Lepisosteus oculatus: one gene and its partners. The main gene of each other region encodes a partner of the protein of the gene in region 2 in a complex. Links are inferred from orthologs where the notes say so. Each region holds a gene or a part of one and is shown on either strand. Other genes may lie near its edges.

Region 1 (3,752 bases), about 1.4 Mb from region 2:
AGTCAGTGATCCAGAGGACATGAATGCACTGCAGGAGAGCACAGACGGGCCTCTTCACCCACGCAGACCAAGGGTGAATATACAAACACCACGCAGATCGCTCCCCAGGAATTTAAACCCAGGGCTGCAGTGCAGAGTGGGAGAATTGCTCACCACTGCACCGTCGCCTCTTCGAATTCTTAATTCTGTAAAATAACTCTTCTGTTCTTTGTAATTTTACTCACACTGTTCCAAGTCAAGCCCTAGAAGTTTTCATTAGTAACATGAAAACGGTGTTAAGCATTTTCTCTTTTTCTTTGTGATGATGTAACTGCCACTTAGACCATTTAATCGTGTTCTCAGTAGTAATCAGGGAGCCGCTATTTAATCCTTAAAGGGGCTGAGTAGACAAAATCCAAAAGAACATGAACAACCTGCAACCAAACAAAGTATTTTTTTTGTTAACAAGCTAATAAACTCCAACATATATAGTTCATATAATGTAACGCATACGGCCTCCATTGCTTGCGAGAGTTGGCTTACCAGAGTGGTGACGTCACCGCCCTTCCCAGTGGATAGCAGGGACCGCAGCTGCTGGGCTGAGGGGAGATCTCTCTTTAGCTCACCAGGCTGGGTCCCTGTTGAGTGATGCCGGAGGCCCGGGTTTGAGTCCCTGATGGTGGGGGACCGACCTGAGGCAGAAGCGGTGAGGGTGCCTACGTGAACCCTGTAGTGTTACAATAATAAGATGTTAATAAGTTAACACTCTTTTGCAATACTACAATCTTTTTCTGCCCGTTAATATTTTGCTTGACAGGTTCACCTATTTTATCTAATTACAGTATTTATTACTGGATGAATTCTGACATATAAAGTTCCACATAGAATTATTTTATGTTTTTAATTTCATGGATATGAAAAAATCGACAAATTAAATAACAGTAAACTTGTATAAAAGTATTTTTGAACAGGCAGTACAGTGGCCGCCATTATCTTCTTACGTAATTTACTCCGCGCAGGGTCCTTCCTCTCTGCTTGTCGCAGCGGGTGAGGGCGCAAGTGAAACGCATTGAGAGCAACTCGCACCGGATTGAAGAAACATTGGCGAAAATAAAGGCAGTACTGTCTTAAACAACGTGTATACGAAGGTGAGTTTACAGTTATTTTAAATAATTCTGTAGTAAGACCAAGTCAACGTCTCGCGTTTAACACAAATGTTGAGGGAAAGCGGCAAATCATTATCGATTGATAGTTTTCAGACATTTGAATGAACATATAATAAACGCATTTTCATCTAAAGTTTGTTAATGATGCACACGTCGTCCAGGCAAATGGAGTTACTGAAATAGTTCCCGAGTAGCATCAGATTTTTAAAATTGGTTCCCAAATTAGCCACGTCCAGTACCAAACCTGTTTAGGATCAGCTTTACAGACATTCAACTGGGGGCTCAATTCTTTTGCACATTTAACTTTTTTTCTTGGTCTATATGTTAAAGTGCAAAAATAAAAGGATAATAGTTGACTATCCCTACAGTCAAGCTTGAGTTCTGGTGTGAAGTCAGACAAGAAATGCTCTGGTAATAGAAAATAAAGAAGGTGGAATGTCCGTGTTTAGGATGAAGGTTGTTTATACTTGTAGCTTTATTTGCAGCAGTTCAGTAAACCTGGAGCTGAAAAGCAGGAATGACCCATTCTGTCGTACCTTTCATACCGTTGTGGGACGCAGTTTGGTTAGACGTGACTGAAATTCCAGAGAAAGCAGAATCATAATACACGGGCCAGACCTTTACAGCAACTGCAGACGGCCCTGGTGTTCTGAGACACCCCAAATCCGTAGGAAACTGGCGAAAAAATAAACGAGTAAAAAATCATCGCTTTAATTGCCGCGGTTTAGAGAGTGGTTCCATTTGTGAATTTTATGGGTGATTTCAAACACCCCATGCAGGTTGGGGTTTCGTTGAAAATAGTTCAGAGTTCTGGGATTAAGAATAGTAATTATTGCTATAAATCAGATTTGATGCGATGATATTGTGAATTAAGCAAACAACTATATTCCAAGTGCAGATATAATGCAGAGAAATGGACTTGGTTTTTTGTTGACTTTTCCACACGTGAATTTGGCTATGAAGTAGAACCAGGGCAGTGTGTTTCTGAGCCCACTTAGGGCTTTTGATTGATTTTTTCCTCCCACAGATTGTTCCAGCATGGAGACCGACCTGTATGACGAGTTTGGGAACTACATCGGCCCAGAGCTGGACTCCGATGATGACGATGACTTGGACAGGGACGAGCGAGATGCGGAGGAGGTAACAGGCTAGTTGCTGCTGCTGCTCCTGCTCTGCTCTGTGCCCGGAGGAGATGGAGGGGTGTGGGCGGTTGAGCAGAGCCACAGTGCGTGGGACGCCCCTGTGTTTTTTCCTGGTGTCCGGCGGCGTGGGTTCTCCGCTGCGCTCAGCTTGTCCGTCTGCCCGCTCAGGCCGACGAGGACGACGACGAGGAGCCGGCCGACCCCGACGAGGAGACCCCCGGGATGGAGGTGGTGCTGCACGAGGACAAGAAGTACTACCCGACGGCGGAGGAGGTGTACGGGCCCGAGGTGGAGACCATCGTCCAGGAGGAGGACACACAGCCGCTCACAGGTCAGGTCCGGCTGGGGTGCTGCGGCTCTGTGTTCGCAGGGGCCTCTCTCGCTCAGCAAGCGTTCCCTTCTGACAGGTTTCCATTGCCGTCTGTTGAAATCGCTTCATATTATTAAAGAATCCAAAATTCGACCATTTCTGATTTCGCTTGTAGGTTGTAAGGTTTTCAGACATACCAAAATAATTTCAGTCCCTGCTTTAAGACGGCAACATTGTTTTTTATTTCCTTTTTCTGCACTACAGCTTGAAAGAGCAGTGTGAGGTGAATTACATCTGGTTTTGCTGTGAGTTGGAATGTAGCTCTTACAGAAATGGGAGAAAGAACACCTGTGAATTTGTGCACAGAGGGGTCCAGGTTAACGTAATTTTGTGACTTGAACGACCTGTCTGAGATTCAGAGATGTATGTTATAACCTTAGATTAATTTGGCTAATGTAAAGCACTTTTATGTCTAGTAATTTAGTCTCCTGTTTTGATTTTCTGCCTCTGAACATTTTTTATTATTGTTAAGCACTCATAAATGAGAATGTCTGTCATTTAATTATGCAGTTTCTTTTTTGAACATTTCTGGAAATGGAGTAATAAAGATGATGTACTTTGTGTGTGTAGGAAAGCATTGATGAACAAGTTACTTGAACTGTGAATTTCCTCTTCTCTCCTTCCCCCTAGAGCCCATCATTAAACCTGTCAGGACAAAGAAGTTCACGCTGATGGAGCAGGAACTGCCCTCCACTGTATATGACATGGAGTGAGTCTCAGATTACACCAGTTTCATTCAGGTCAACAGGCTCTGGTCTTGTGTAATGGCAGTCGATTGAACATGAATGCTTATCGCCCTGAGGAAGTCTAGCCTCTGCTCCAACAGTCTGGCAGCTGATTCCAGACTCCCACCACACTTCGTGTAACGAAGTGTCATATTTTTCACTTGTTCCTGAATCCTCGTTTCACTTCTAAAGTAGTCCTCTGGGTTGACATTGTCATTGCTTGTGAGAGTTTTAAGTCACTCTGTCTGAATTCCCCTTGTAGCTCCGTTGAAGGCTAAACATTTCAGTTCCTTTAAGTAGCCTCATCTTCCTTTCTGCAGGTTTCTAGCCGATCTGATGGACAGTCCAGAGCTGATCCGAAATGTCACAC
Region 2 (3,752 bases):
AAAATTGCTCATTTTTAGTAGCATAAATATTATATTAATATGTACATTTGTTTGCATTTGATAGCCAGTTGAAACTGAAGTGAACAGAATAACAGGTAAGGACTAAATAGCTCTAAAAGATAGGCTGTACCAGGAGAGCCAATTTTCTGATTTTGTGAACCAAGAATAGAAATTTTCTCTTCTCCAATGACCACTGGGATGATTACCTCCTGGATTTTCTGGCTGCGCTCAAAGATGGACTGAGCATCCTTGTCTTTTTCCGTGTCTAGCTCGTAGATCGCTGTAGCACCCATGTCCTCTGGCCCTTCTGGTTTCTGCAACATTGGGGACAAAAACAGGAAGAGATCAAATGAGTCCCTAAAGACACTGGTTGAACCTCAGCCTTAAGGAAGAGTCGGTGCTAATCTGTGGAGCACTGATGTCACTGACAGCCTGCAGGTACCCAGCAGATCCATAGTGTCGCTGTTCTAGTACCTCCTCTTTAAGAATCCCAGTCATTGATGGATAATGACATTTCCAGCCTGGTTCTAAATATTCAAGCGAATCCCATGGTTTCAGTAACATAATCTCACCCCAAAGCACCAAAGGTTTACCTGTTGATGATCAATGGAATGAAAGATATCAAAACAAGGGTTATCTGGTCTTTGGTGGACATTTTAGTATAGTCAGGAAATTTACTACACATAGTCTTTAACAGAGGGGTATTCAGGTTTTTGTATATCTCGCAGATGACTCACAGCAGATTTGGTGGATTTGTAAGCTATCGTCATCTTCTGATCCTCCTTTTCACCTTCGCTGTCACTGGAGGCTACTTTCTCTTTCTCCGCCTTCTTGGTCTGAAAGAGCAAGAGGAAAAGGACAGCACTCAGAACAGATCTGAGAACACGCCAGAGCTCTCCGTGCAGGAGTCTGTGTGTTCGTGTCACAGCCGGCAGATCAAAGGTAAAGGATGAGCTTCCCACTCTGTATACCAGTAATATTTCAGAGCTATACCACTTCTTGTAAATGAGTGGACTTTCACGTGATTTACTGTATCAGCCTTAGTTAAAACTGGGGTAATTCAACCAAGCTACAGAACAGGACCACTGCTAAGGCCACTGCTGCACAACAGTTTGATACTTTTCAGGTTTTACCATTGCAGGCTCTACTGCCTGTACTGATAAAAAGAACAATATTAAATTCACACAGCTGTCTATGGAGGATAGGATATAAGTTTTTTTTTATTCACAATGAGGAAATTTAAAAAATGCAACTATGCATGTTTTTTTATACTGTTCCATTAAATAATACTTTAACATTTGCCACTTTTTATATGATTAAAAAAAAACATGTAACAATATGCTAAATGGACAGACATGATTTAAGCCAGATTTTTTCCTGGTGTGTGTACCAAAAGAGCATGCAAATTGAAATCAGCCTAAATCTCACTCTGAGATTTAATAAATCTTTGTCTTTGATAAATGATCCATATGGCATCAAATATTTTAAAATATAAAGTATGATTAACCAGCATGTGCAAACCTCTAATACCTGAAATGGAAACACCATACGGAGGGGAATTAGTCTATAAAACCGCTTTCTTTTTCCTTTAATTAAAATAAAAATGAATAGCATGAAACCTACAGAGTTCCTTTTTTCATTTTATCAGCAATGCTCATAGGCAGTGTGTCAGTGGTATCAAAGGCACAGGAAATAGTTCTACTGCATTTCCTAACATTCCCATTCCAAACCTGGAATCTTACCCCCTGGATCATGGGATTGGCAATAGTGGCCTTCTTCTCCCGTCGTATCACTGCATGTCCTCCTTCATCACTGCTGCTACCTGGGGCAGGACGGGGCAAATACAGAGGCATGACTGCATTTAAACAGGCAGCTTTAACAGAGATAACACAGACGTAACACATGACCAGGCACCATTATCGCAGGGCAGCCTGACAGACTAGCAGCAGGGTAGACTCACATAATGTGATAGATTAAGGTTATGGATACCATGTCCTGTATGATGTTAAACTGCCTGAGTCTACACTAGTATCATGTAACCAATAATCGTCCAACAGATTGTTAACTTTCTGATAGTTTATCTCCTTATGTATTATGAAAAACTGAAAAGTTTGTCACGTTCTCTAAACATTTTCTTGTCATTTCAATCTTCTTCGCTAAGCCGATACAGTGGAGTTTGAACGTAATGAGGAAATCATTCCCATTCTAAAAAAAATGTATATGCAACTGAGCCTTAAAACGTGCAAAGCTTTTACAGACTGTTGTAACTGGCTCCAATCTTCTCAGACTGACACTGGGCTGCAGCAGCTACAAACACGAGTATGTTTGCTACTACGTCGATGTGTTTCTTCACAAAGAGTGGACAAACACCATGCTCACAGGTGAACGAGAAGGACGTGTGACGATTAACCCACAGAAACAGAACAACGCAGTTACCTTTCTCGCTGTCGCTGGCTTTTCGCTTCCGAACAGAGACTTTTTTGTTCGTTTTTTTAAAGAAAAACGTACAGGTAGCTTTAGACTCCTCACTTTCAGCCATTTTTATTTCTCAGGCCTCTATCCCCCCTCGACTGTGCGCAGGTTCAGTAAATATAACAGCGACATCTAGTGACAGCCCATCAAAGCCCTCCCAAAGCTGCCCCGGGCAAGAGCAAGCGTTCTGATCCGTGGAGAACAGAGAGTAGAGGAACTCATTACACGTGTACGTGTGCACTGGACTTATTATTCGCGCTGATCTCTCGGGACATACACGATACAACAGACAACACCATACAATGTAAGACAGTATATTACAAGATAGTAAATAATACAACCAGAACTATAAATATGTACTAACGAAAGAAAAAACCGTGCATAGTGCAGGCGTGCATTGAGTTTGAGACATTGCAGTTAGGTGTTGAGGATGTGTACTGCAGGAGGGTAGAAGTTGTTCTTAGGTCTAGTGGGCTGAGCTTTAGCTGTACAGTACCGCTTGACAGAGCGCAGGGGGGAGGACAGCCTGTGGTCGGGATGGTTGGGATCCTGAATGATGGATTGGGCTTGATTGCGACAGCGGATGGTGTGAATCTCCCCGTATGATGGTAAATCACATCCTGTAATCCCCTGTGCTGTTGCCACAACCTTTTGTCATGAAAAAGTTACAAACCTCTCATCCTGCCCATCTGACCCCTTTGGTAGCATGTAGCTAATTGATCAGAGGATCTCATCCAGACAGCTCTTGAAAGAAGTCAGGGATTCAGCTCCAACAGTCAAGGCCGGTTATCTTTGTCTTAAAGAAGAGCGTCCTGTGGTCATATTTAAATGCACTTCAAGAAGGGTGAACGGATTTTATAGCCCAAAATTGTCTGGTATTTATTCAGGATAAAAGTTCCTTAAATGTAAAATTTACACTTTGGATTTAGACATTTTGTGTTTTGCAATTGCACTTAAAGGACATGCGAAGAGATAGCAGAAATGTTTTAAAAAACATGAAATGTTTATCCGTCCATCTGTCTGCTAACCGTTTACCAATACAAGCTTGCAGGGAAGCCAGAGTCCATCTCATTAAGTAATGGGTCCAAGGCAGGGGGTACACCCTTGACGGCACAACAGTCCATCTTAGAGCACACAGACTCAAACACACACACACACCAGGGACAATTTTCCCAGAAGCCAATTAACACACAAGTGTGTCTTTGGACAGTGGGAGAAAACCGGAGCACCCAGAGATCAGACCACGTAAACACAGGGAGAAGATACACACTCCACCCCAG
Region 3 (3,752 bases), on a different chromosome or scaffold from region 2:
CCTTCGTTATGAGAAATGCTGGGAAGATTTATGGAGCGCGAGCGAATTATAGATACCGATCAGATACTGAAGTAGACATAATACGTGCAAGGGTGATTTTTTTAAATCAGCCGTAGAGTCAGTGCGTCACGACTCTTACCGAGCAAGTCTCCAAAAGGAAGTTCAATCTATATTTTTCCCATGTGCGCACTAGGTTATTGTCCAGGTAAAACCGGAAATGAAACAATTACACAAATTCAGTTTCAGTGTAGCCAAAGTTTTTGAAACCGGACAGATATGCCTAGTTATTACTTTATTTATGTTACTGCTAATGTGACGTGAGAAATGATCAGACATGACAGATCCTGCCCATTAACGAAACACATACCATCCCTCAACAGGACACGTGCGTGGATTTAACTAGTGATTTAATTATTTATAAACATTTATAAACTCACGTTTAGGTGAAACTGTTTATTTCATCACCCAAAGTGACGGGAAACACGATGAGAACAGTAGAAAAAATTAAACCCGGGGAATACTTTTCTTTTGTATCATACTGCTACGTTTTTAGTTAAATTGGCTAAATTTGGACAAATGGTGTCTTTGATTTTGTGCATCAGTTGCTGCGCTCTAGGTTTTCAGCTTTTATTTTACAGATACGTATCTACGCACTTTTAAAATTAAATGTATAAAGAATTTACAAATACAACTAGAGGAGCAGAAACAAATAAAAGAGAAAAAACACATAAACAGAAAAAACAACGTTTTGCCACAGGTAATGAAGAAAATTATTTACGTGACCAAATAATATTTTTTACATAAATCAAATGTTTTCCTTGCTTTAGCATTTTTCATTTTTTTTTAATTAATTCTAGTATCTACGCATTATACAGATTCTGCAAACGGCTCTTCTATAATGACCAGTGTCTCATTGATTGTAGAAAGTAACTCAAACCCAAACACTGTTTCAAGACTTTCCGAATAGGAATTATGCAGAGGATATGAATGAGCTGAAGACACAGCATGTGGATCTCAATCGTATTTTAAGAGAGCGTTAAGTATCTCGGGAGTTTTCAAAAGGACACGCGAAAATATACCACTTTGCTATTTCAACAGACGTTGGAGTGAAAAATGTTTTTATATTCGGTATGGACCATCTTCCTTGTTCCTGTTATATGAATAAATGCAATTTAAGATACATTTTTATTATAAGAATGACTGTTCCCTCAAAGGACACTCTCCACTCGCAAGCTAGATATTTTTGTCACATGATCCAGTAACAACCCGGAAGCGGAAGCAGGAGAGAGAGGGGTCATTTGGATATCGTGGGAGTGAATTCGTTCATGATGAAGTGAGTATCGACCTTCTATTAGTTTTTCCTATTTTTCTAAACTATTGCTTTCAATTTAAAATGAACCTTTTGCTGTTTTTAATTGTATAGTGGCGAACGGGTGATGTTATGTAAATTAAAAATGACAAAGCTATCGACCAAGTTTAGCTACCGGTATTGAAAGAAAAGCTTCTTTTTATTACGTGACCAAAACTCACAGCCGCAACACCGACCTCATTCTGTGATACTGTCCTTATCGGCTTTCTCCAGCTTACAAACTTTGGATTTTAAGAAATATTTCATCCTGTGGTTAGCTACTATCTAGCTCTATGTTTTGTTTTGATTTTGGCAGCGACTCTGAGGTTCCAAATTGGGGTAATTCAGTTAGCATTTGTTTTGCATTGTTTGCGTTTTTACTTTTTTTATCTTGTATAAACTCAACCGAGTGTTTTCGCTTCTCTTTAATCGTTGTTGAATTTACACAAGCAACGCAGTAAATGCAGTTAGGTGCCACCTTGTGGTGAGAAGTGGAATTGCTTACAGCAAGTTGTGTAGGACTTCACTAGTTTAAAAATGGAAAATCACCTCTAATTCTACAGAACCGTCACCCTCTTAATAACACAATCTATGAGTCACTGCTTATTATCATTTATTATAATTTCTTACATTTATATAGAATTTTCTGGACACTCCACTCAAAGAACACTACAGGTAATGAATGGGGGACTCTCCTCCACCACCAGTGTTGAGCCCCACCTGGAAGATGGGACGATAGCCATAGTGCACCAGTACGCTCCCCACAGACCAGCTCTCAGTGGGGAGGAGAGCGGAGTGCTGATGCCAGTTCAGAGAGGGGGATTATTAGGAGGCCATGATTGGTAAAGGCCAGGGGGAAACTTGGCCAGGACACTGGGGTAACACCCTTACTCTTTTCAAGAAACAAGACCATGGAGAATCAGGATCTCAGTTTAACGTCTCATCCGAATCATATTGAACTTTCCCCAGTAACGGAAATGGAAATTAGTTAACCTTTCCTTGCTACAACACAGAACACGTAGGCCTGAACTAAATCAAATCTTTGACTGACTCGGATCTGCTTAATTGGATCCCAGTTAAACTGTCCTAAGCCTGTCATTGGACACTGATGGTGATATCAGGTGACCCAGTCCCCCTGAAGTAGGGCTTTGCATAAGCAGGGTTAGAAATCCCTCCTCTGTAGAAGAATGCATTCATGGCAGGCTGGCAGATAAGGACAGAATTGTGAAGGGCTGCCCAGCCTTGCTGTGTGTGTATTGCAGTGGGAGTCAGTCTTTTTCTCTGTCTCTGCGCAGTCCTCTAACCAAGGTGAAGCTGATCAATGAGCTGAACCAGAGGGAGGCGGAGCTGGGAGTGAAGGAGACGGTGTCCTGGCACTCGGAGTACAAGGACAGCGCCTGGATATTTATAGGTGAAGACAGACCTTCCTTTCTCTCCTCTGCATTGATCGCTGTTTATAAACTCGCATTATATGGTGACTGATGAGAAAGAACTACATTTGCAGTGGTGGAAGGGCAGATAAAATGCTCACACTGCTTAGGGCAATGGCTTTAAAGTTGTATCACTCCTTTATTGTGGATCCTTATTGCTGGACAGCTTTAGTGAGGCCCTGGACTCCTGACTGGAAGAATCCCAGATGGGGGCACTGCTACTGTACCCCTAAGTAAGACAGTTTATCCAGATTGTTCCAGCAAACCAAGCTGCACAAATGGGTACCAAAACCTGTATGTACAGGCTACCCTCTGTACTACTCCACCGCAGGAGTGACAGGTGATGGATAAAAATCCAAAAAGAACCTGGAAACAATTGGTTGTGAGGTATAAGTAGGCCAACAGATCAATTAGTTGATTCAGTTAAGTTATTAAGATTTCTTCTGGAAAAAAACCCAGGAGGCCCCTGTTTATTTGTCCAAGAGTGGGTGACTCACTTATCTGTGTTTTCATATTCCTCCAAAGTTAGTGATTCCTACTGGATTTGCTGTTATCTGTCAACCATGTGTGGGTGGCTGTTTTGACCTGTGTGTGTGGTTTCTGGCAGGTGGCTTTCCATATGAGCTAACGGAAGGAGACGTCATCTGCGTTTTCTCACAGTGAGTGTCTGATATTATACGTGTTTTCACCACCTCAGACCACGGGTTTCAAACCCGTGTGCTCAGTGTTAATGCCCTGTTCATATCCCTTTCCACCAGTGACATGTCTCTCTCTCTCTCTCTCTCTCTCTCTCTCTCTCTCTCTCTCTCTCTCTCTCTCTCTCTCGCAGGTATGGGGAGATTGCCAATATCAATCTGGTGCGGGATAATAAGACTGGGAAGTCGAAGGGCTTCTGCTTTATCTGCTATGAGGATCAGAGGAGCACCATCCTAGCTGTGGATAATTTCAATGGGATTAAGGTAAAGGCAGGGTGT

What was found.
Region 1: rnf113a (region 2) and eftud2 share a complex: the UniProt entries of both Homo sapiens proteins name them as parts of the minor spliceosome. The link is inferred for Lepisosteus oculatus from reciprocal best matches to the Homo sapiens genes RNF113A and EFTUD2.
Region 3: rnf113a (region 2) and rbmx2 share a complex: the UniProt entries of both Homo sapiens proteins name them as parts of the minor spliceosome. The link is inferred for Lepisosteus oculatus from reciprocal best matches to the Homo sapiens genes RNF113A and RBMX2.

What each region holds. Positions count from the first base shown.
Region 1 is NC_090723.1:536,375-540,126, forward strand, and holds the start of eftud2 (116 kDa U5 small nuclear ribonucleoprotein component), read left to right. Parts: upstream 1-1,004; 5' UTR 1,005-1,127; intron 1,128-2,172; 5' UTR 2,173-2,183; coding exon 2,184-2,285; intron 2,286-2,455; coding exon 2,456-2,618; intron 2,619-3,287; coding exon 3,288-3,366; intron 3,367-3,702; coding exon 3,703-3,752. UniProt on the Homo sapiens protein: Required for pre-mRNA splicing as component of the spliceosome, including pre-catalytic, catalytic and post-catalytic spliceosomal complexes. Component of the U5 snRNP and the U4/U6-U5 tri-snRNP complex, a building block of the spliceosome.
Region 2 is NC_090723.1:1,932,308-1,936,059, forward strand, and holds the start of rnf113a (E3 ubiquitin-protein ligase RNF113A), read right to left. Parts: upstream 2,563-3,752; 5' UTR 2,540-2,562; coding exon 2,437-2,539; intron 1,823-2,436; coding exon 1,743-1,822; intron 837-1,742; coding exon 738-836; intron 315-737; coding exon 207-314; intron 1-206. UniProt on the Homo sapiens protein: Required for pre-mRNA splicing as component of the spliceosome. As a component of the minor spliceosome, involved in the splicing of U12-type introns in pre-mRNAs. E3 ubiquitin-protein ligase that catalyzes the transfer of ubiquitin onto target proteins.
Region 3 is NC_090703.1:47,213,632-47,217,383, reverse strand, and holds the start of rbmx2 (RNA-binding motif protein, X-linked 2), read left to right. Parts: upstream 1-853; 5' UTR 854-1,325; coding exon 1,326-1,333; intron 1,334-2,643; coding exon 2,644-2,759; intron 2,760-3,385; coding exon 3,386-3,437; intron 3,438-3,607; coding exon 3,608-3,737; intron 3,738-3,752. UniProt on the Homo sapiens protein: Involved in pre-mRNA splicing as component of the activated spliceosome. As a component of the minor spliceosome, involved in the splicing of U12-type introns in pre-mRNAs.